4 linked regions of the Caenorhabditis elegans genome follow. The protein of the gene in region 1 purifies or fractionates together with the protein of each later gene. This does not show direct contact. Each region holds a gene or a part of one and is shown in the gene's direction. Other genes may lie near its edges. The genes, in order: ipgm-1, D1022.4, sams-1 and enol-1.

Region 1 (5,203 bases):
CGGAGCTAAATGAATCTGCTACTTCTGAAGATTCAACATTCGATGACGATACAGGCACAACACAGGATGAGTCTGGATTGAATGCATTCTTTAATTCTCCGGTTAGCAAAGAACAAACTTCAATGCGTCCACAGTTTTCAATGATTGCTCATATGGAGAAGTATGATACAATGCAGGCCAAGAAAAACATGGATAAATTGCCTGATAATGTTCGCCGAGAAAGCGAAATGGAACACATTTCCCATAATTACGGCCGTAATAATAATTTTTACAGTACGAAAAATTCTGATTACTTCAGGTCCCTCTGAAGTTAACCGCCCGGCGAGTGTTTCATCTAAACGCCACGATCCGGCTGCAAGTATATCGGCAACATCGGAAGAGTCGATCCTATCTGGAACCACTCAGGATGAATCTATGCTCAATGATTTCTTCAATCCAACAGGCACCGACGAAAAACTTAACGACGTTGAGTTTTCCATGACTGCGCATGTGGCAGAATTCGATAACAGACAAAAAGCAAAAAGAGCTGCAGAGCAAATTAAGAAGAGTTCTTCAAAAATATCTGGCAAAAAAGAGGAATCAGTTGCAGATGATAAAAGTGGTTCTTGAATTCTGAATAAGCTTGACAATTTGCAACTATTTTCAGGCTCTGGCAACAGCTACGTAGCTGAAAGTGAAGCTGGCTTCTCACAAGGATCTGAGGAAAACGAATCCATGGATGATGAGGTTTGTGTCTCTTAATGGAATATTCATGAAACATTTATTGTTTTCAGGATTTGGTTGCTCCAGATGATGGCGGTCTAGATCAAACGATTTGGGATGGTGACGACTAAAACTTTCTACATTCTAATTTAATTCATACTTTTTTGTGTTCCTCTTATACGGAATTTTCGCGTAATCTTGTACTATTCCATCATGTTCCTATTGTTTGTGATCTGTTATAAGTTATAAATCATTGTTCTTTAATATTTCAATATTATTGCTGTCACTGTCAAAATGCTAATTAAATTTATCTTTAAAAATCAATTTAAATGTTTAAGTCCTGTAAATATTTATTAAACCGTCGAATTTCAGGAAAAATAACTGTTATAAAATTTATTTTACATGTTAACATGCATGTTAGAAAAGAAGAATTTTACATGTCAACATGCATGTTAGAAAAGAAGAGTACTTGAGAAATTACAAAAGTTTGTATGTATTTACTTGTTTCAATAGTTTTCATTTGTCTGTGGTCGTTGTCTCGCTGAAAAAGACGGGCGGTGCGAGAAAAAGGGTTTTATTTGGACACTAAACTCAATAAAGATACACTTTTTTGATTTCGCTCGCTAAAACTTTTCAATTTCAATACTTCACTTTTGCATCATTTTTCGTGCAGCTCTCTGCGTCTCCGCTTTCAAACACTTCTATTTTGGGTCAATTCTGTTTTTTTTCTTGTTCAGTTTCGAATCAATAGTTTAGCGCGGCTCCAAACATCTAGAAAATCCTTCAAGAAGAGAGCACGAGAAATTGAGAATTTCTTGAGAAATGAGAGAAATGTTAGAGATACGTGATAGAAGAGTTGTTTACGTGCAAAAATCTCACACAGAAAACGTTTCTCAATTTTATTCTCATTTCTTTCAACATTTCAATAAGTCAATGAAATAGTGCTTGACAGAAGAGACGGAGAGAAATAGAGATGTTCGTAGCCCTGGGCGCTCAAATTTATCGGCAATATTTCGGACGACGCGGTGAGCGGTTTTTGGATTCTTGTTGTTCTCTTTTTTAATTTTTTTCTCACTGGTTATATTTTAAATTTCTCGAAACAAAATTGATCGATGATCAAACTTCTTATTTGATAACGAATCAACAGTTTTGATTTAATTCCATTTTTCATAATCTCGTCATTTTGTTTTGCCTTTTTTTTAATTGTCCTTTTTTCTTTCTAATACCTATTTTTATATTAATTGATTGCTAATGTTTTAATTTTAATGGAGGTTACATTTAAAAGTTTTGCTCCGAATATATTTGAAAGAAATTCCTTCACAAGCATCATCTAGTATTTTTATTCTTTTTATATTTTGTGCGAGAAATCACAATCCCCCTATAACAGCTAATAGTTTTCGCCTTTAAACTCAAAAATTTTTCAATTTGCATCATATTCCGATATTTTTCAGGAATGGCGATGGCAAATAACAGTTCGGTGGCCAATAAGGTCTGTCTCATCGTTATTGATGGATGGGGAGTTTCTGAAGATCCTTACGGTAACGCTATTCTCAACGCACAGACACCAGTTATGGACAAGCTGTGTTCGGGTAAGATTTTATTTATTTCAAAATTGTTAACCCAAGAACATTTTTCCAGGCAATTGGGCTCAAATTGAGGCACATGGTCTTCATGTTGGTCTCCCAGAAGGATTGATGGGAAATTCGGAAGTCGGACATTTGAACATCGGAGCCGGACGTGTTATCTATCAAGACATTGTTCGTATTAATCTGGCAGTCAAGAACAACAAATTTGTATGCTTCCAATATTATTTCAGAATATTATATTTCGTAAATTTTAGGTGACTAATGAGAGCTTGGTGGATGCTTGCGATCGTGCTAAAAACGGAAATGGACGTCTTCATCTGGCCGGACTTGTTTCTGACGGAGGTGTTCATTCTCATATTGGTAATATTCATTTATTTATTTTCAATTTATGATTTTTCTCATTTCAGATCACATGTTTGCTTTGGTTAAGGCCATCAAAGAGCTCGGAGTTCCAGAACTTTACCTTCATTTCTACGGAGATGGTCGTGATACTTCTCCAAACAGTGGAGTTGGATTCCTTGAACAAACCCTCGAGTTCTTGGAGAAAACTACTGGGTTAGAATAATGTGATAATTTATGGGGTTATTCAAGTAGTGTCGGAAAATTAAAAAGTGTAGAAAAATTACGCCACAACTGTATTCAAGTATATAAAAACATGTATTTAAATACATTTGTGACGTCACAAATATATTTAAATACATTTCGCTACATTACTTGAATAACCCCATTAGGAAACATGTTTAAAAATATTTTCAGATATGGAAAACTAGCTACTGTAGTTGGCCGCTACTATGCTATGGATCGCGATAACAGATGGGAGCGTATCAATGTTGCATACGAGGCAATGATTGGAGGTGTTGGAGAGACTTCCGATGAGGCTGGGGTATGATTTTAGCGTATAAACTGATTAACAATTCAAAAGACGAAGAATGAACAGTTTTGGATTTCGTTTAATTATAATTTTCTAGGTATCAAAAATCATTTACTAAATATAAAGTAGTTTTCTTCCGTACAATGTATGATATACCAAGATGCAAACTTTTCACTTTAAATCAACAAAAATTCAAATTCATTTCAATTAAAAATGTTTCCGAGAGAAATTCGAATTCTAATTTCAGCAAGTTTAAATAATATCTAAAATTATCATTTTCCAGGTTGTTGAAGTTGTTCGCAAGCGTTACGCTGCTGATGAAACAGACGAATTCTTGAAGCCAATCATTCTTCAAGGAGAGAAAGGACGTGTTCAAAATGACGATACAATCATCTTCTTCGACTACCGTGCTGATCGTATGCGTGAGATTTCTGCAGCAATGGGAATGGATCGTTACAAGGATTGCAATTCGAAGTTAGCTCATCCATCAAATCTTCAAGTATATGGAATGACTCAATACAAAGCCGAGTTCCCATTCAAATCGCTGTTCCCGCCAGCATCGAACAAAAATGTATTGGCTGAGTGGCTCGCCGAGCAAAAAGTTTCGCAATTTCATTGTGCGGAAACCGAAAAATACGCTCACGTTACATTTTTCTTCAATGGAGGACTTGAAAAACAATTTGAGGGAGAAGAAAGGTGTTTAGTGCCCAGTCCAAAGGTAATACTTTGATGATATAACTTCGAAAATTGAATATTTCCAGGTCGCAACTTACGATCTTCAACCAGAAATGTCTGCGGCCGGCGTTGCTGACAAAATGATTGAACAACTCGAGGCTGGAACTCATCCATTCATTATGTGCAACTTTGCTCCACCAGATATGGTCGGGCATACGGGAGTCTATGAAGCTGCTGTCAAGGCCTGTGAAGCTACTGATATCGCAATCGGAAGAATCTATGAAGCAACTCAAAAGCACGGATACTCACTTATGGTTACTGCTGATCACGGAAATGCTGAAAAGATGAAGGCTCCAGATGGTGGAAAACACACTGCTCACACATGTTACCGTGTTCCACTCACTTTGAGCCATCCAGGATTCAAATTTGTCGATGTGAGTTTTTGTCAAACGTTTGAAATTTTTATTTAAAAAAAAACAGAAACCCATATGTTAAATGAAAATATTAATTTACAAACGGGTGTAAATAGCTATTCACTTCACACGTTTACAGCCAGCCGACCGTCATCCGGCCCTTTGTGATGTTGCTCCAACAGTTCTCGCTATTATGGGACTCCCTCAACCAGCTGAAATGACTGGGGTCTCGATTGTTCAGAAGATCTAGATTCAAGTACAATGATTTCAATATTCAAGTTCTATGAACTATATTTTCTACAGTATTCTTTTGTCCAATTTCTTCCCAATTACCTACTATTCAATTCTGTTTATAGTCTGAAAATTTTTATGTATTTAGATCCTTAAATTAGTATGAATAAAATTATATTGCACTGAGAAAATATTTCATTCATTACTATGACCTGTCGGATGACTCATATTCTATTTGCTATTTATGTTTTTTTTCTTGCTCCGGAATGAGCTCTGTAGTCAGTTGCTCAACATTTTTGAAGGGTCAATTGATGGTGACATTTGGCCAATAGACACACTGAGCACATCTGCGGAGCACTCTGACGGCTCGCAAAAGATTGATTTGATCGGACTTTTACTGGGACGAACTGAGAAAAACCATTGGTTTTCTCTGCGTCTCTTAATTTCTCAAACTCTCTTGATTTAGTATCTTATCGTTTCTTCTAATGCTCTCTCTGTGTGACATTTTTCATTATAGTTTCTCGAAAATTCTTTGGAGAAAATGTTGCTAGCATTTTGATGTCACTTTCGTTTGAAAACTCCAGAAACCTCGCCTTTTCCTTATCGTTTTTTAGCATCACTCAGTTAAAATGACCTATTTGTGCCACGAACCCAGTTTTATTGAGAAAAATCGAAATTACTAGGTGAAATTCTATTTTTCGTTGACTTTGAATACGTGTTTGATC
Region 2 (3,179 bases), on another chromosome or scaffold:
ATGGTGAAGTTGGTCACAAAATAATGTGTCCTTATTTTGTGCTCATCGGAGAGATTTGGAGAGCCTAGAGAAACACAAAATTCAGGAAATTTCTTATAAAAGTAGTTGAAACAACAAAAGTGAAAGTTGTTTTATTGGTGTCGCGAAGGCAAGATGTCTGTTACTCATAGTCAACTTCAATACACAGATTCCAATGGAAAAGTGTACGAAGGAGATCTTTATGTTCCAAGGTTTGTATAAATTTAAAGTTTATGTGAATTTTGCCGGAAGATTGAATTTTAGCATGAATAATAAAAGTGTGTGCGGATTAGATTGTTTTTCCTTCCACCAGTCGGATAGGTTTGCATTTGTTGACTTTCTGTTGTGTGGTGTTTTTTTGTGACAAACGATTGCCTCAACTTTATTGAAATTAGGGATTTTAAACAAATTAAAAATTTGAATCTATGTTGTAAATTTTCGATAAATGTTATGCAATATTAAATTTACTTAGCATACGAAATCTGATTGATGATTAGAATGGTAACATTTGACATCAACATAGTATCAGACTGGTTTAACTAATTATCAAACCAAACTTGTTATTTATTCCAGAACAACTAGAATGAGAAAACTTCCCGGTGTCCTTGTGTTCCCTGCATTCCGCGGAATCACCGAATTTGAAAAAGAAAAAGCGAAGGCTCTTGCTCAGGAGGGCTACATCGCATTGGCAGCTGATCCATTTGGAAAGGGAATTCATCCAAAAGACAAAGCAGAATGTTTTGCAATTGTACGCCCAATGATAATTGAGAGGAGTAAACTATTAAAGTGTGTAATAGTCGCGGCATTTGATGCCATAAAGGCTGTTCAGTGTGTAGATGTTAATAAAATTGGAGCACTTGGATTTTGTTTTGGAGGCCTATGTGCGCTTGATCTAGCCAGGTACAATGTTGGACTGAAAGCAGCCATTTCATTTCATGGCACACTGACTCCAATACCTGATGCTCCACTTGATAAGATTATTGAAACAGCTGTCCAGGTTCATCATGGAGATTCGGATGCTCATATTCCAAAAGAACAAGTCGATGGATTCCACGTGGAGATGAGAACTCGAAATGCGGATTTTGTGTTTTCCAGTCATGCACATGCTGAACATGGATTCACAGAGCCAGGTAGAAATAGTTTACGAATAACTTTACGATATATTTTTATTTTTCAGATGCTGATTCTTTCGGACTTCCCGGAGTTAAATATAACAAAAAAGCTGCGGATCGATCATGGGCATCTGCTTTGGCTTTATTTAAAGAAATATTTTAAATCTCATATTATATGCATTATTTAAATTTATATAAATTTTCATGAAAGAGAAAGAAAAATATTTGTTATTTTTAATCAGATTCAGATAACTTCAAAATTTTGGCTCAGTTTTTATGGCTTTGAACACAGTTTAAAGTCTTAATAGAGATGTAGTTTATATTGATCATTTTTGTGACAACTTTTTGGTTTGTGAACTTTCCCGAAACTATGTTTGCTACGCACTAATGAAACGTAGAGACCCAGAGAGAAAAAAACGAAAGGTCATAAATATAGCAGTTATAATGGTAATAGAGACGATACGCAGACAACGTCAAACCCCAAAAGGTATACATATATATTGACCGTCTTAGATAACTCTTGTTAGTTTTCTTCTTTTCGAGATGACCGTTACCACGAAACTTATTGATTATTCTGATGAGGAAGGTAATAACTTTGAAGGAGTTCTTTATATTCCAAAGTTTGTTTTTTATTTTTTATTTTCATTTTTTATTTATTTTTGTAGGAATGTAAAACAGTCAAAAGTTCCCGCCGTACTGATTTTCCCAGCTTTCCGAGGAATTACGCATTTCGAAAAGGACAAAGGCCAACAAATTGCCGAGGTTACTTTAAAGTCTATATTTAGTAGGTTTTACAAAATCAGGAAAACTATAACAGCTGCATTCTCAGGAATATGCTGATTTAAAAAAAAAGACCAAATTTTAGCTTGGATTCGTTGCTTTTGTTGCTGATGTCTATGGAAAAGGTGTGAGACCAACTGAACGAGCAGATGCATTTGCAACAATGGGACCGCTTGTTTCCAATCGCGTTGAGAAACTGAAACCAAGACTTTTTGCCGCTGTCAATACTTTGAAGACTTTCTCTGAAGTGGACACCTCAAAAATTGCAGCAATCGGATATTGTTTCGGTGGGCTTTGTGTTCTCGATTTGGCAAGATACAATGCTGGACTCAAAGGAGTTGTATCCTATCATGGAACTTTGAAACCAATTCCTGATATTGCTCTAGATCCAATTGTTGGAACAACTGTGTATGTTCATCACGGAGACGCAGACTTCCATATTGCAAAAGATCAAGTTGATGGATTTCATGAAGAAATGAGAACTCGTCAAGCTGATTTTGTCTTTGTATCGCATGCAAATGCAGTTCATGCTTTCACTGAGCCAGAAGCTGACAGTTTCAATGCACCAGGAATTGGTTACAATGAGAAGGCTGCAAAAAGATCATGGAATGCAACTCTCGACTTGTTCAAAGAAATCTTCTAATGTTGTACTGTACACTACGATCACAAAATTTTGTGACTTTTCTATCTCTCCGTCGTAACAAACCTGTTTGAAATAAATATGATAAGTAAATGTATAAAAGTATTTATTATGATCATTTTGTCATTTTTTGCAGAACTTTTTCTGATTCTATAAATTTTAAAGTTCAGATTTCATAGCTTTTTTCCGAATTGAAAGCTATGTCGATTCATCAAACTATTGATTATGAAGATGCGGATGGCAATTTATTTTCAGGAGAGCTGTATAAACCAAGGTTATTATTTGATTGTTTACTTGTTAAATGAAACCGTTGAACACTATGTATATCTAAAATAGATCTAAATTGATTTCAACAAATAAGAGTTTTCAAGTTATATCCGATGTCTGTGATAATTGATAATTGATATTTTAAGATTTTTGAAAAGTTTGAAACTATAATTCAATGTTTTCAGCTCCGATAACTCTACTAAACATCCCGGCGTTTTGATTTTCCCTGCATTCCGAGGAGTGTCCAAACTGGAAATTGCAAGGGCAAAATTATTGGCTGAAGAACATGGATATGTAGCTCTTGTTGCTGATATTTATGGAAAAGGAATTAGATGCACAGACATCTCATCGGCAGTGACACT
Region 3 (6,374 bases), on another chromosome or scaffold:
TTGAACTGAACATGGGAAAACATAAATGATAGCACATCTAATAAATTTTGAAAATTTTTTGCTTCGAGTGAGCATGAACAAGGTTTCAAAATGAATTTGTAGAAGCTACAGACTTTGTCAAAAATTAAACTAGCTCTACTGTAATTTGAAAATCATGTTGTCAGAAAATATCCGAATGTAATTAATATTAGAAAACAGTTTTAGTCGACTCTAGCACACGGGTGTGTAAAACTTCAGAGAATTTTGGGGTGTAGAAGAGTTTAAAAAATGCAAAATGAGTCAAAAATATTCAAAAAAATTGAAAAAAGAGAAATTTGTGATTTTTAAAACTGTGTTGCTGTTCAGTCTTGAAACACAAATAAAACATAAAATTAGTTGACATCCACAACAATTGTCTTCTGCGAAAAATTAAGAGCAAAGAAAAGACTGTAAGACAAAAATGGTAGATCAATCTGTTAAATCATCTCAAAAATAGTAAATAGTTCACCAAAAAGAAAACAAAGTTCAAAATACCAAAACAAAGAATGTAGCGTTTTTTTTTGCAGATCCCCTAAAAAAGTTAATAGAAAATTCGAGGTTCTTATCAAAATAAAAATCGTTGCGGTTCATCCAAAATGGTAGTTCAAACGGTGGTTATCAGTTAGAGGGAAACCGATGAGGGTAATGGCATGATAGACTCAGGCATGCTACAAGACATTACTTTTTCATGGAAATTGAACGATAGTAATTGACTGATATTAGATCAAATTGTGATCTTTCTATGTCATGCTTGCAACGATGACCAAGTTTTTTTTTCTATAATGAGATAAAGAAGATATTGTCTGTGGGAACTGACGAAAGAATGATGTGTTTCTAGTCATTCTCAAAAATTCCAGCATTTTTGACCAATAGTTCTATCATGATAATTACAAGAAAAGCATTTATAGTTCTCACATTTTTCTTTCATACCATTAAACTAAAATAGTGAAAACTCACAGTTCATATAAGAATTTTCGGAATTTGTGTATTATAACTCCACTAAAAAACTTGAACTTTTGAAAAAAAAAAACGTGCGGAATACATTGTATTCCAGGATTAGAAAAACTTAGTTTCTAAACCTTTAAAAAAATGTGTATCGCATTTCATTTAATTGATTCAATTAATGAAAATAACATTTAATTCTTAAAATGTGAAAAAATACACAAGTACCGATTTTCAATGTAATTAAAAATCCCTAAATGTTATTCTTCTCTACAAAACCTTGAAATTGACCAATCCCGCCATAAAACCAGTTGAAGAAAACCACGTGGGTAACTCACGTTGCCGTTTTTATCAAATAGTGTACCTACATCTATTGAAAAAATAACATATGTATATATGACCGATTTGAACAAAGATCACGTAGAAAAAATGTGATTTTACAAGACAGCCAGAATTATAAAGTTATTAAATTTACATAAAGCTCTTAAAGATGAACTGTAAAACCTGTCGAAAATTTGAGTTTAGTCAGAATATTCGACACTCCTGTACTATGCACATTCTTTAAAAATTGAAACTTAGGGCAACTTTTAAAAAGCGAAATATTTTACAGAAGAACCAAACATCCTAGCATAATTCAAGTGTGGTAAGAGATTTCGGAGTGATAAAGGAAAAATTGACTAGACCGCTGACACCAACTAAACGTGGATCATAATCACGAAATGTTAATCACCATGCTATTCTTGTCACCACAACCCTCCACCTATCCAATCCTGATCGCTCTTTGTCGCCATTTCCTCTCATTTGCCTCTCGAGAAAGATAACATCAAAGTGGTGAAACAGTCAAAAAAGATAGGACTTGCGAGAGTACGGACGACGCAGAGATAAAAACTGGGTTGTCTGTGTGACTCCGCCTTCGAATATCGCTGGGTTCTTTATAAGGGCAGTGTCCGACTGTGCGAACAAGCCATTCTAAATCGCTTCTCAGTCTTAAAACTCAGAAATGTCCTCCAAATTCCTTTTCACCAGTGAATCTGTGTCCGAGGGGCATCCAGACAAAATGTGCGATCAAGTAAGTTTTTTTTGTTTTATTTATTTAATTTTATCTATTTCTGTTTTTTTTAGATTTCTGACGCCGTTCTCGATGCTCATCTTAAGCAAGATCCAAATGCAAAGGTTGCTTGCGAGACCGTAACAAAAACTGGTATGGTTATGCTCTGCGGAGAAATTACCTCCAAGGCTGTTGTTGACTATCAAGTTCTCGTCCGTCGTGTCATCGAAAAGATTGGATTCACCGACTCCAGCATTGGTTAGTTTATAGAATCTTGCTTTATTATTAGCTTGTTTCAATGTTTTTGTTCAGGATTCGACCACAAGACCTGCAACGTGCTTGTTGCTCTTGAGCAACAATCTCCAGAAATTGCTGCCGGAGTTCACGTCAACAAGGACGGAGAAGATGTCGGAGCAGGAGATCAAGGAATCATGTTCGGATATGCAACCGACGAGACCGAAGAGACCATGCCATTGACTCTCATTCTTTCCCACAAGATCAACGCTGAGCTTCACAAGCTCCGCCGTAACGGAACTCTTCCATGGGTCCGCCCAGACTCCAAGTCTCAAGTCACCATTGAGTACGAGTCCCGCCACGGAGCAACCATTCCACTCCGCGTTCACACTGTTGTGGTCTCTACCCAACACTCTCCAGATGTTACTCTTGAGAAACTCCGCGAGACCATCCTCGCTGATGTTATCAAGAAGGTCATCCCAGCTTCTCTTTTGGACGAGTCTACTGTCTTCCACATCAACCCATGCGGAACCTTCATCGTTGGAGGACCAATGGGAGACGCAGGAGTCACCGGACGTAAGATCATCGTCGACACCTACGGAGGATGGGGAGCTCACGGAGGAGGTGCTTTCTCTGGAAAGGACCCAACCAAGGTCGATCGCTCTGCTGCCTACGCTGCCCGTTGGGTAGCCACCTCATTGGTCAAGGCTGGACTTGCTAAGCGCGTCCTCGTCCAACTTTCCTACGCTATTGGAATCGCCAAGCCAATCTCAGTTTTGGTCTATGCTTTCGGAACTTCCCCACTCACCGACGAAGAGCTTCACCAGATCGTCGAAGACTCCTTCGATCTTACCCCAGGAAAAATTATCAAGTAAGTGAATACAGCTAGATAGGAGAAATTTCATTGGTTTTTTACAGGGAGCTCGACCTCAAGAGACCAATCTACGAGAAGACCGCCGAGAACGGTCACTTCGGTCACTCTGAGTTCCCATGGGAGCAGCCAAAAGCTCTCAAGATTTCTCCAGCACTTCTCGAGAAGGCCAAGGGAAACCCAATCCCAGCCACATCTGCTATCGCTCACTAATTTTTTTGCCTCGGTATGCAAAACTTATTTTTTAAATAATCAATCTCGTTTTATTGTATGCTAGGCACCAATAGTTTAAATTAGTCCGATTTTGTGGATAGACCCCTTGAAAAAACTGAAAAAAAAAACAAGTTAGAGTATTAAATTAAGTTTAGGCAACTAATTACATTTTCAATTCAGCTAGATGACCAACACCTCGCCGTATTTAAAAAAAAACGATTAACGTATTTTGACCTTTTCCCTTTCCTCCCCCACCAGCCTCTTACTCTGATGCGATCCCCCAATTTTCTGTCCCTTCCTGTTCACTGATGATGTGCACTCTTCAGAGCATTTTTCAACAGTGCCTTCTCTTTTTTAAGTCCCCGGTTTCCGCTACCCGCTGAGCTGTCTTGACTTTTAGAATAGCTTCATTTTCAAAAAATTCATATTAAAAAAAAACATCACAACGCAAAAAAATAGTTCTTGACAGTTTCTAATGCCCGAAACATATTTTCTCCAATTACATAGTATTAAATATCCTTTCTCATAACTTCCTCATTGCTCAATGTCTCAACTGCCACCAACTGAGTGGTATCGTACGATTTTTAAGCACCATCAAATCTTTGGTTATAATTAATACATATTTTGTTAAATTGTAATAATCCTTCGGTGGTAGTTCACTGAATTGCTTATTTCCATTCATAATTATGCTTGACATTTAACTTTGGGAAATAAAGTTTTAAAATATAAATTTTTCGAAATTTGTGTTGAAAATAAGAAACATCAAACATTCTAAGGATGATAAAGAAAAAAGATTTTCTGCAAGATAAGACTGGGTGAGTCGTAAAACGCTCCCGCATTGATAAAGATAACCAAGAAGGTGAAATTGACACAAAGACCAAATGAGACAAAAAACTTGATAAAATGTAATTTACAGAAAAAAAAAACTTTCGACATCATGAAAAGAAAACATTATCGTATGTTTGAAAACTTGAAGCTCAACTGCTTCATGGAAACTCAAAATACGCCCTAGAGAGATATCGTTTAATGCCAAACCACAATTACATAATTTCCTGATGCAACCATTTTTCGGTTCAGCATCTCGACAAAAAATTTCATGGCAATAACCTGGTAACTTAATTAGCTGCCAGAAAATTTGAACGGTGTTACTAAGATATTAATATACTTTTTTAAATACTTGATTCTAACTTATTACGTACTTTTGCCACATTATAGAAACTTTTCCAGTTTTCGGCAGATTTCAAGAATAGTGATAATTGGTCCGTAATTTTTCAACATCAGACCGAAAGAGATGCAGTAAGTATTTTTGTGAATAGGTTTCGTTCCGCACAAAAAGTTATTGAAGTTGTTTACACTCAATACTTCAAATTTAATTTGCATGTAAGAGTTTTATTCAATTTCGACTAATTTGCTCGTTTTTAAAAATAACATTAAAATTCTGCCAAAAAAATTAACTTTTAAATTAAAAAATTTAACTTTTTTGGAGATTTATTTGTTCATTGTTGTTAAACTTAATTCTAAAACGTTGAACGTTGTTCAATTTAAATAATTACAATGTTTTCAAAATATATACTTTTCGCATTCTTCTTGAAGTGTTTTTGTTTTCCAAACAACAAAAAGCAATTCCAATATGAATTAATCATGATAACTTCATTTTGTATCTAGTGCTGAGAATACATCGTGATTGCTTTCCACAAATTCCACAAAGCTTGCATAATATCTCTCGATTCATCATATCCACGTCACACTAATTCAGGAAAATCTATTTAGCGAAAATATCTAAATACGAAATCTCGAAAAAAAACCAGCTTTAATAATACATTCTATTTTCGTCAAAACCTCTCTAGTGGTGTTTTCCTTTTCTATTTTTCTCGAAGCTAATAATTATGGGATATCACCTGACACCATAGACGCAGACACAAAAAGAGCTCAAAAATAGTATTACAAGTAAGGAATGAGAATAATCTCACTATTTTCACAAATCTATACAAAGAGGCAAACTGATTTCAAAACTTTGCTTTTGTTCATTTCGACTGACTCTCTGCTTGAAAAGAGTCAGCGGAGTTTTCAAATACTTAAATATCTTTAAAGACACCTCGCAATCCAGAATGATCATCAACAGGTGAGATTATCAGTATTAAATGATAAATTCACGTTTTTTCTTCTTACTATTGTTCATGATTAGAACAAAACATCGAATATTTAAAATCCTTTGATTTTAATTTGAAAAATGCAAATAATAAATTTACTCTTTATTTCAGAGCGAGAATCCGAACTTTATGAATGCATTCACTTTGTTTCTTAATCTATCACGTCTAAAATAACTCGATGGCTACGTGACAAATGCAATATTTTCTTCTTTCAATTTTAACACAGACATAGTTCACTTTCCCATCGATAAGATCATATTATGCTCTCTGTTACACCTGAAGACTCATGTTTTTTTGCTTTTCTGTACAAAATGTTAACCGTTTGGATGAATAAACCGGCAACGACAAAAATGCTCAGGTGAGGAAATTTGAAACATGACATTTTAGCCAAACGTACAGTCTGGCGCTTCACTATTGCCTGGCGCTTCACTATTGCCACTTATTATTGTAATACTGTCTCCAAACGTTTACAAGCTTTAGAATTCACACAATTTCATTCAAAACTTTTTTCTATTCGATGTATTATATAAATGCACATTAAATAAATTCATAATGACTATAAATACATCAACATAACTAAATAATATTTGTCACACATCTGGTTTGCTCTATTCGTAGTGCACTATTTTAAAACTGTATATGTAAAACTGTATTAACTGATAATATTAAATTCCAAAGTTCAGCAATGAAGTGCATGCTTAATAGAGCAAATTTGATACAATTATTACATAAATATTAAAATTTAGATCATATTTTATGGCAGTTATGAATCTTCGTCGGACAGTTCAATTTCAATAACGTTTTCCAAACGTTCACAAGTCGCTGTAGACAATTGTCGCCTCCATTTCAGGTTATATTTTGAAAAAGATACACATGGATCAACCCGAACCTCCTCAAC
Region 4 (5,062 bases), on another chromosome or scaffold:
AGCTCAAAAGGTTGCGGGTAAGGAAGCCCTTGCCGTTGAAGCCTTCGGAAGAGCCCTTGCTCAATTGCCAACCATCATTTGCGACAATGCTGGACTTGACTCGGCTGAACTTGTCACAAGACTCCGTGCAGAGCACGCCAATGGACGTCACAATATGGGAATCGGTTTGTTCATTTGGAAATCTAACCATTATACAAAATTATCTTTCAGACATCGAGAAAGGAGAGGTTGCTGATGTTACGAAATTGGGCGTTATTGAGTCTTACAATGTGAAGTTGTGCATGGTTTCTTCCGCCGCTGAAGCCACGGAACAAATTCTTCGCGTCGACGATATCATCAAGGCAGCTCCACGTGCCCGTGCTCAAGATAACCGACCATGCTAATCAAATTGTTCGCCAGACTGTTAAAAGATCTTCAACTTTATTCTCCCTTTTTCAGCTTTTAATCGAGTGCTTCAACACAATCGTATCTCGTTTTTTTTCGTCCCCTTCATTCTTATTTTTGATGGAATTTGATACACTTTCTGTTGCTTCTGCCTACCGTTTTTATATGCCCCCGTTTTCAATTTAATATTCGAGAATACCGCGTGTTTTTGCTTGTTGATTTGTTTTCCTTTTAAAATGAATGGAGTGCGATTTACAAAAGGTACAATATTTGAAATGTATTTTATTCCAGTTTTTATCTGATTTTTTATATTTCTGATTAAAGAGAAAAGAAAAAGCTTAAAAGAAAAAATTTAGAACTGCCAAAAGATGCACAGGAGTTTTCCGAGGCTTGTCCGATCGCAAGGTAACTTGTTGAAAGGAATGTTTGGAAAATCCGGGGAAAAGGAAGCAGTAAAGCAGCTGACACTGGAAGAACAGGAGAGCCTTCGCAAGACGCTTCCCAGCATCCGTGCTAGAGAATCCACACAAGTTACTGCTTCAGCTGATTCTGTCACTGAATTTGACGATGATCTGTTGACGATGAGCCGTATCGACACGGATGCCATCCGGGCCAGAGGTTTTCTCAAATACACGCAAAACTATGTTCCCGGCGTTGATGTCAAAAACCAAGTACTTGAAGCAGCGTCATCATGTCTAAGAAGTGCTGGAGTAAAGTCTGAAAACGTGGATCAGTACAAATTTGTGGAAGGAGATAACTCTGTAAAGTTCGAGTTGTTGAACAGGCTGGGAAAATCCATCGAACATTGGCCAACCAATGGAAAACTTCTTCATTTGGAAACAGTGGCAGACGTCGTCGAATTTTATCAGACGCCTGTCAAAAATGTAACAAAATATACAGAGTTAGTTTTTGTTTAAAGATGCTTATTGAATTATTAATTAAAATAAATTATAGAATGGCTCGCGATGAGAACAAACCGAAAAACGTCTCGATTATGGAGCATGCTGCACGTTTCCATCCTGAAGACACTCACATGTATCATGGTGGAATCACTGCATTCCCAGGATCAGGTGGTGAAGTTCTCTCTCTGAGACAGAAACGTCTACTTCGACAGTTCCAACCGAAAAAAGAATGGTTCGATTATGATGATCAGGTAATTTTTAAAGTTTCAGTGCTGACTTAAAATCGGCATTTTTCAGACATTTGATTACACTCGTCCTGACAAGAATATGCCATGGGATCCAGAAGTTGCTAATCAAATGGACAAATACACTGATAAACGATACAACCTAAAAACAAAGCAATTCACTAGGATTCGACAATAAAAAATAATTTGGTTCATTTTTGTATTAGAGTTTCATATTTAGTATTTTTAGACCTATTTTCTTTTTGTTTGATCTATCGATTTTTATTGTTGTAAATAAAATTGACGTTGAAAAAAATATTTTTGACCTCTTCACGTTTTGATCTTCCTCTAAAGTTTTGCTCTACGCAAGTTATTTCAGTTTTTGATTTAAAATGTTTGTTCCATTCACCTCGGCAGCTCACTCGCTCACTTCGCTCATTCGAGGTGGCGGGCAGCCTTCGAAAAGCAATCTGTCTGGACAAAGGTTTTGGTTATCTCTTTTTCTTTATTTTCCGCCAGTTGATTTCATGCTCCCGCGACTTCCACACGCAATCTGCAAAATTTTGGCTGCTGAATCAGGGTAATGGGGTCTGCCGTGCCTTTTTTCCAAAACGTTGACTGATGTTTACTTTTCTTTTATGTTTCATTTTGACTTGTTCAATGGTTTTGAACAATAGTGTGTGCAAACTAACGTTTTTCTTTAAATTCAACACGCAAGCTTTGAGGTGTTTTAGTTAGAAAGAAAATAGTTGTGTTTCTCTTCAAAAATAAGTTTTTTCCGAAATGTTTTGCAAATTTTCCGAATCAACAATTTCTTCTCATATCAGACCTTATCACTTCTTCTCACTTCTAAAACTGACCACTGAACATAAAAAACATTTGGTAACTCGCTTCTCAAATCCAATCTGAAGTGCATGCTTTGCCAATCTGAAACTTCGTGTAAGTCACGTATTTAGGCGAAAGGCAGCCGCTCAAGTCGTCGCTTCTCCCCAGCGGCAGTTGCTGGCGTCCTTGGCCCCTCACTTGTTTTCGAGCCCAAGGCATTGGCTCCTCTTTTCTTCTCGGCATGACGAATTTAATCATAATTCTCAATATCTAGAAGTGTTCAAGAACTTAGTGAATCTGCAATGCCTTTTTTTTGTAACTTCAGTTCGAATCTTAACTGCGTCTCTTTGAGATCTACAAACGAATTTTATTCACTGCCACGAAAAAGAGGCTGTCCGTGCGATTCTATTGAACGTGCGCTCTCGGGCCGCTCACAAACACATCTAACCAGCTGCATTTTCTCTGAGTCTCGTGTCCTCCGTGCGACCTTCGTCACTCTTTCCACTTTCTGCGCCGTCTATTGACGGCGCCGCCTTTTTCTTCTCGCACTCCTTTACCCCTTCTCGCCTCAAACATTTTATCTTTTCAGTTGTTTTGTTTACTAGTGCCCGTTTCTCACGTAGTTTTATATACTTGTTTGATTATTGAAAACATATAGTTCATTTTGCAGGATGCCAATCACCAAGATCCACGCTCGCCAAATCTACGACTCCCGCGGAAACCCAACTGTTGAGGTTGATCTTTTCACTGAGAAAGGTAAGCGAGCATTGTATAAATTCTATCAAAACTTGAAAAACCAATCTAGATTTGAATAAAATAAGATTAATCTTGTTTTATTCAAATCTGAAATTTCATGAAGTATATTTCAACATTATGACGCAATTCCGAAATCACATCATTTCTTGTTTCCAGGAGTCTTCCGTGCCGCAGTTCCATCTGGAGCTTCTACTGGAGTTCATGAGGCCCTCGAGCTTCGTGACGGTGACAAGGCTGTTCACCTCGGAAAGGGGGTTCTCAAGGCCGTCTCGAACATCAACGAGAAGATCGCTCCAGCTCTGATCGCCAAGGGATTCGATGTCACTGCACAGAAGGACATTGACGACTTCATGATGGCTTTGGATGGATCGGAAAACAAGGGAAACCTCGGAGCTAACGCCATTCTCGGAGTTTCACTTGCTGTCGCCAAGGCTGGAGCCGTACACAAGGGACTCCCACTCTACAAGTACATCGCCGAGCTTGCAGGAACTGGAAAGGTTGTGCTCCCTGTTCCAGCCTTCAACGTCATCAATGGTGGATCTCACGCTGGAAACAAGCTCGCTATGCAAGAATTCATGATTCTTCCAGTTGGAGCTTCCAGCTTCGCTGAAGCCATGCGCATGGGATCAGAAGTCTACCACCACTTGAAGGCTGAAATTAAGAAGAGATATGGACTCGATGCCACCGCTGTTGGAGATGAAGGAGGTTTCGCTCCAAATATTCAAGACAACAAGGAAGGACTTGACCTTCTCAACACTGCCATCGACAAGGCTGGATACACTGGAAAGATTTCCATTGGAATGGATGTCGCAGCATCGGAATTCTTCAAGGACGGAAAGTACGATTTGGATTTCAAAAACCCAGCTTCAGACTCCTCCAAGTGGCTCTCTGGAGAGCAACTGACCGAGCTCTACCAATCTTTCATCAAGGAGTATCCAGTTGTCTCTATTGAGGATGCTTTCGATCAGGATGATTGGGATAACTGGGGCAAATTCCACGGTGCCACTTCCATTCAGCTTGTCGGAGACGATTTGACTGTAACCAATCCAAAGAGAATTCAAACTGCCATCGACAAGAAGTCATGTAACTGCCTCCTTCTCAAGGTTGGTTATTTTCTTATTCTGCTTCATACATAAGTTTCTTTTCAGGTTAATCAAATCGGATCCGTCACAGAGTCAATCGAAGCAGCCAAGCTCTCCCGTGCCAATGGATGGGGAGTTATGGTCTCTCACAGATCCGGAGAGACTGAAGACACTTTTATCGCTGATCTCGTTGTTGGACTTGCCACTGGACAAATCAAGACTGGTGCTCCATGCCGTTCTGAGCGTTTGGCCAAGTACAACCAGCTTCTCCGCATCGAAGAGGAACTCGGAGCTGATGCTGTTTACGCTGGACACAACTTCAGAAACCCACAAGTGTAGATCACTCAATCTAACCTATAAATACTGTGTATTTTCGTACTTTCTTCTCAAAATTGCCCTCCCTTTTTATGTAGTCACCTTTTTACCCTATTTTAGTGCTTGACCAGTTTAAAGTTGATTCCATTGTAGATTATTTATTGTACTTGTAATATGAAGATTGGACATGAAAATTTTAACGAAAACAAACATCTGGTTATTTAATTCGGTTTTTGTTTTTTTCTAACTACGGTATCTGTTAAAGGAGCACGCGTTAATTTGGCTCAGGGTCCCGCGACGAAAACTACCATCGCGCGAACGCGTACGCGCCAAAAGTTCTGAAATACATTTTCATCATTTCTTTTGTCACACATTTCGTGCCATGTCATTTACGAAGTGGGTCTGATTTCAAACCAACTGAAAATTCGAGAATTATCGCTCATTTTTATGTCTTATGTTTCGAAAATATAATCAATGCATTTCATTGATTTGTTTTCGTTTCGTTTCGTCGGCATTTTTCAGTTCTCCTGTTCTGCTAAATAGCTATCCTTCATTGTTCCTCGAACTAAATAAG

Evidence for each region.
Region 2: the proteins of ipgm-1 (region 1) and D1022.4 fractionate together in Caenorhabditis elegans (co-fractionation; one large-scale study listed by BioGRID). This does not show direct contact.
Region 3: the proteins of ipgm-1 (region 1) and sams-1 fractionate together in Caenorhabditis elegans (co-fractionation; one large-scale study listed by BioGRID). This does not show direct contact.
Region 4: the proteins of ipgm-1 (region 1) and enol-1 fractionate together in Caenorhabditis elegans (co-fractionation; one large-scale study listed by BioGRID). This does not show direct contact.

Annotation. Positions count from the first base shown.
Region 1 is NC_003279.8:6,567,934-6,573,136, forward strand, and holds ipgm-1 (2,3-bisphosphoglycerate-independent phosphoglycerate mutase), read left to right. Parts: upstream 1-1,623; 5' UTR 1,624-1,675; coding exon 1,676-1,727; intron 1,728-2,153; coding exon 2,154-2,291; intron 2,292-2,340; coding exon 2,341-2,495; intron 2,496-2,542; coding exon 2,543-2,648; intron 2,649-2,695; coding exon 2,696-2,843; intron 2,844-3,044; coding exon 3,045-3,171; intron 3,172-3,442; coding exon 3,443-3,877; intron 3,878-3,920; coding exon 3,921-4,268; intron 4,269-4,386; coding exon 4,387-4,497; 3' UTR 4,498-4,663; downstream 4,664-5,203. Other genes in the region: syp-6 (Thyroid receptor-interacting protein 11), read left to right, coding at 1-255, 299-601, 647-726, 774-833. UniProt on the Caenorhabditis elegans protein: Catalyzes the interconversion of 2-phosphoglycerate and 3-phosphoglycerate.
Region 2 is NC_003280.10:7,455,781-7,458,959, reverse strand, and holds D1022.4 (Dienelactone hydrolase domain-containing protein), read left to right. Parts: upstream 1-1,667; 5' UTR 1,668-1,673; coding exon 1,674-1,750; intron 1,751-1,795; coding exon 1,796-1,892; intron 1,893-1,995; coding exon 1,996-2,553; 3' UTR 2,554-2,646; downstream 2,647-3,179. Other genes in the region: D1022.5 (Dienelactone hydrolase domain-containing protein), read left to right, coding at 154-230, 592-1,148, 1,196-1,293; D1022.3 (Dienelactone hydrolase domain-containing protein), read left to right, coding at 2,751-2,824, 3,003-3,179.
Region 3 is NC_003284.9:11,964,068-11,970,441, forward strand, and holds sams-1 (putative S-adenosylmethionine synthase 1), read left to right. Parts: upstream 1-1,894; 5' UTR 1,895-1,960; coding exon 1,961-2,029; intron 2,030-2,082; coding exon 2,083-2,266; intron 2,267-2,320; coding exon 2,321-3,113; intron 3,114-3,160; coding exon 3,161-3,326; 3' UTR 3,327-3,339; intron 3,340-5,587; 3' UTR 5,588-5,826; downstream 5,827-6,374. Other genes in the region: Histone-lysine N-methyltransferase set-6, read right to left, coding at 6,240-6,374. UniProt on the Caenorhabditis elegans protein: Catalyzes the formation of S-adenosylmethionine (SAM) from methionine and ATP.
Region 4 is NC_003280.10:8,929,101-8,934,162, forward strand, and holds enol-1 (Enolase), read left to right. Parts: upstream 1-1,902; coding exon 1,903-1,994; intron 1,995-3,005; coding exon 3,006-3,091; intron 3,092-3,247; coding exon 3,248-4,194; intron 4,195-4,239; coding exon 4,240-4,512; downstream 4,513-5,062. Other genes in the region: cct-2 (T-complex protein 1 subunit beta), read left to right, coding at 1-164, 211-383; mrpl-50 (Large ribosomal subunit protein mL50), read left to right, coding at 753-1,285, 1,339-1,537, 1,584-1,709.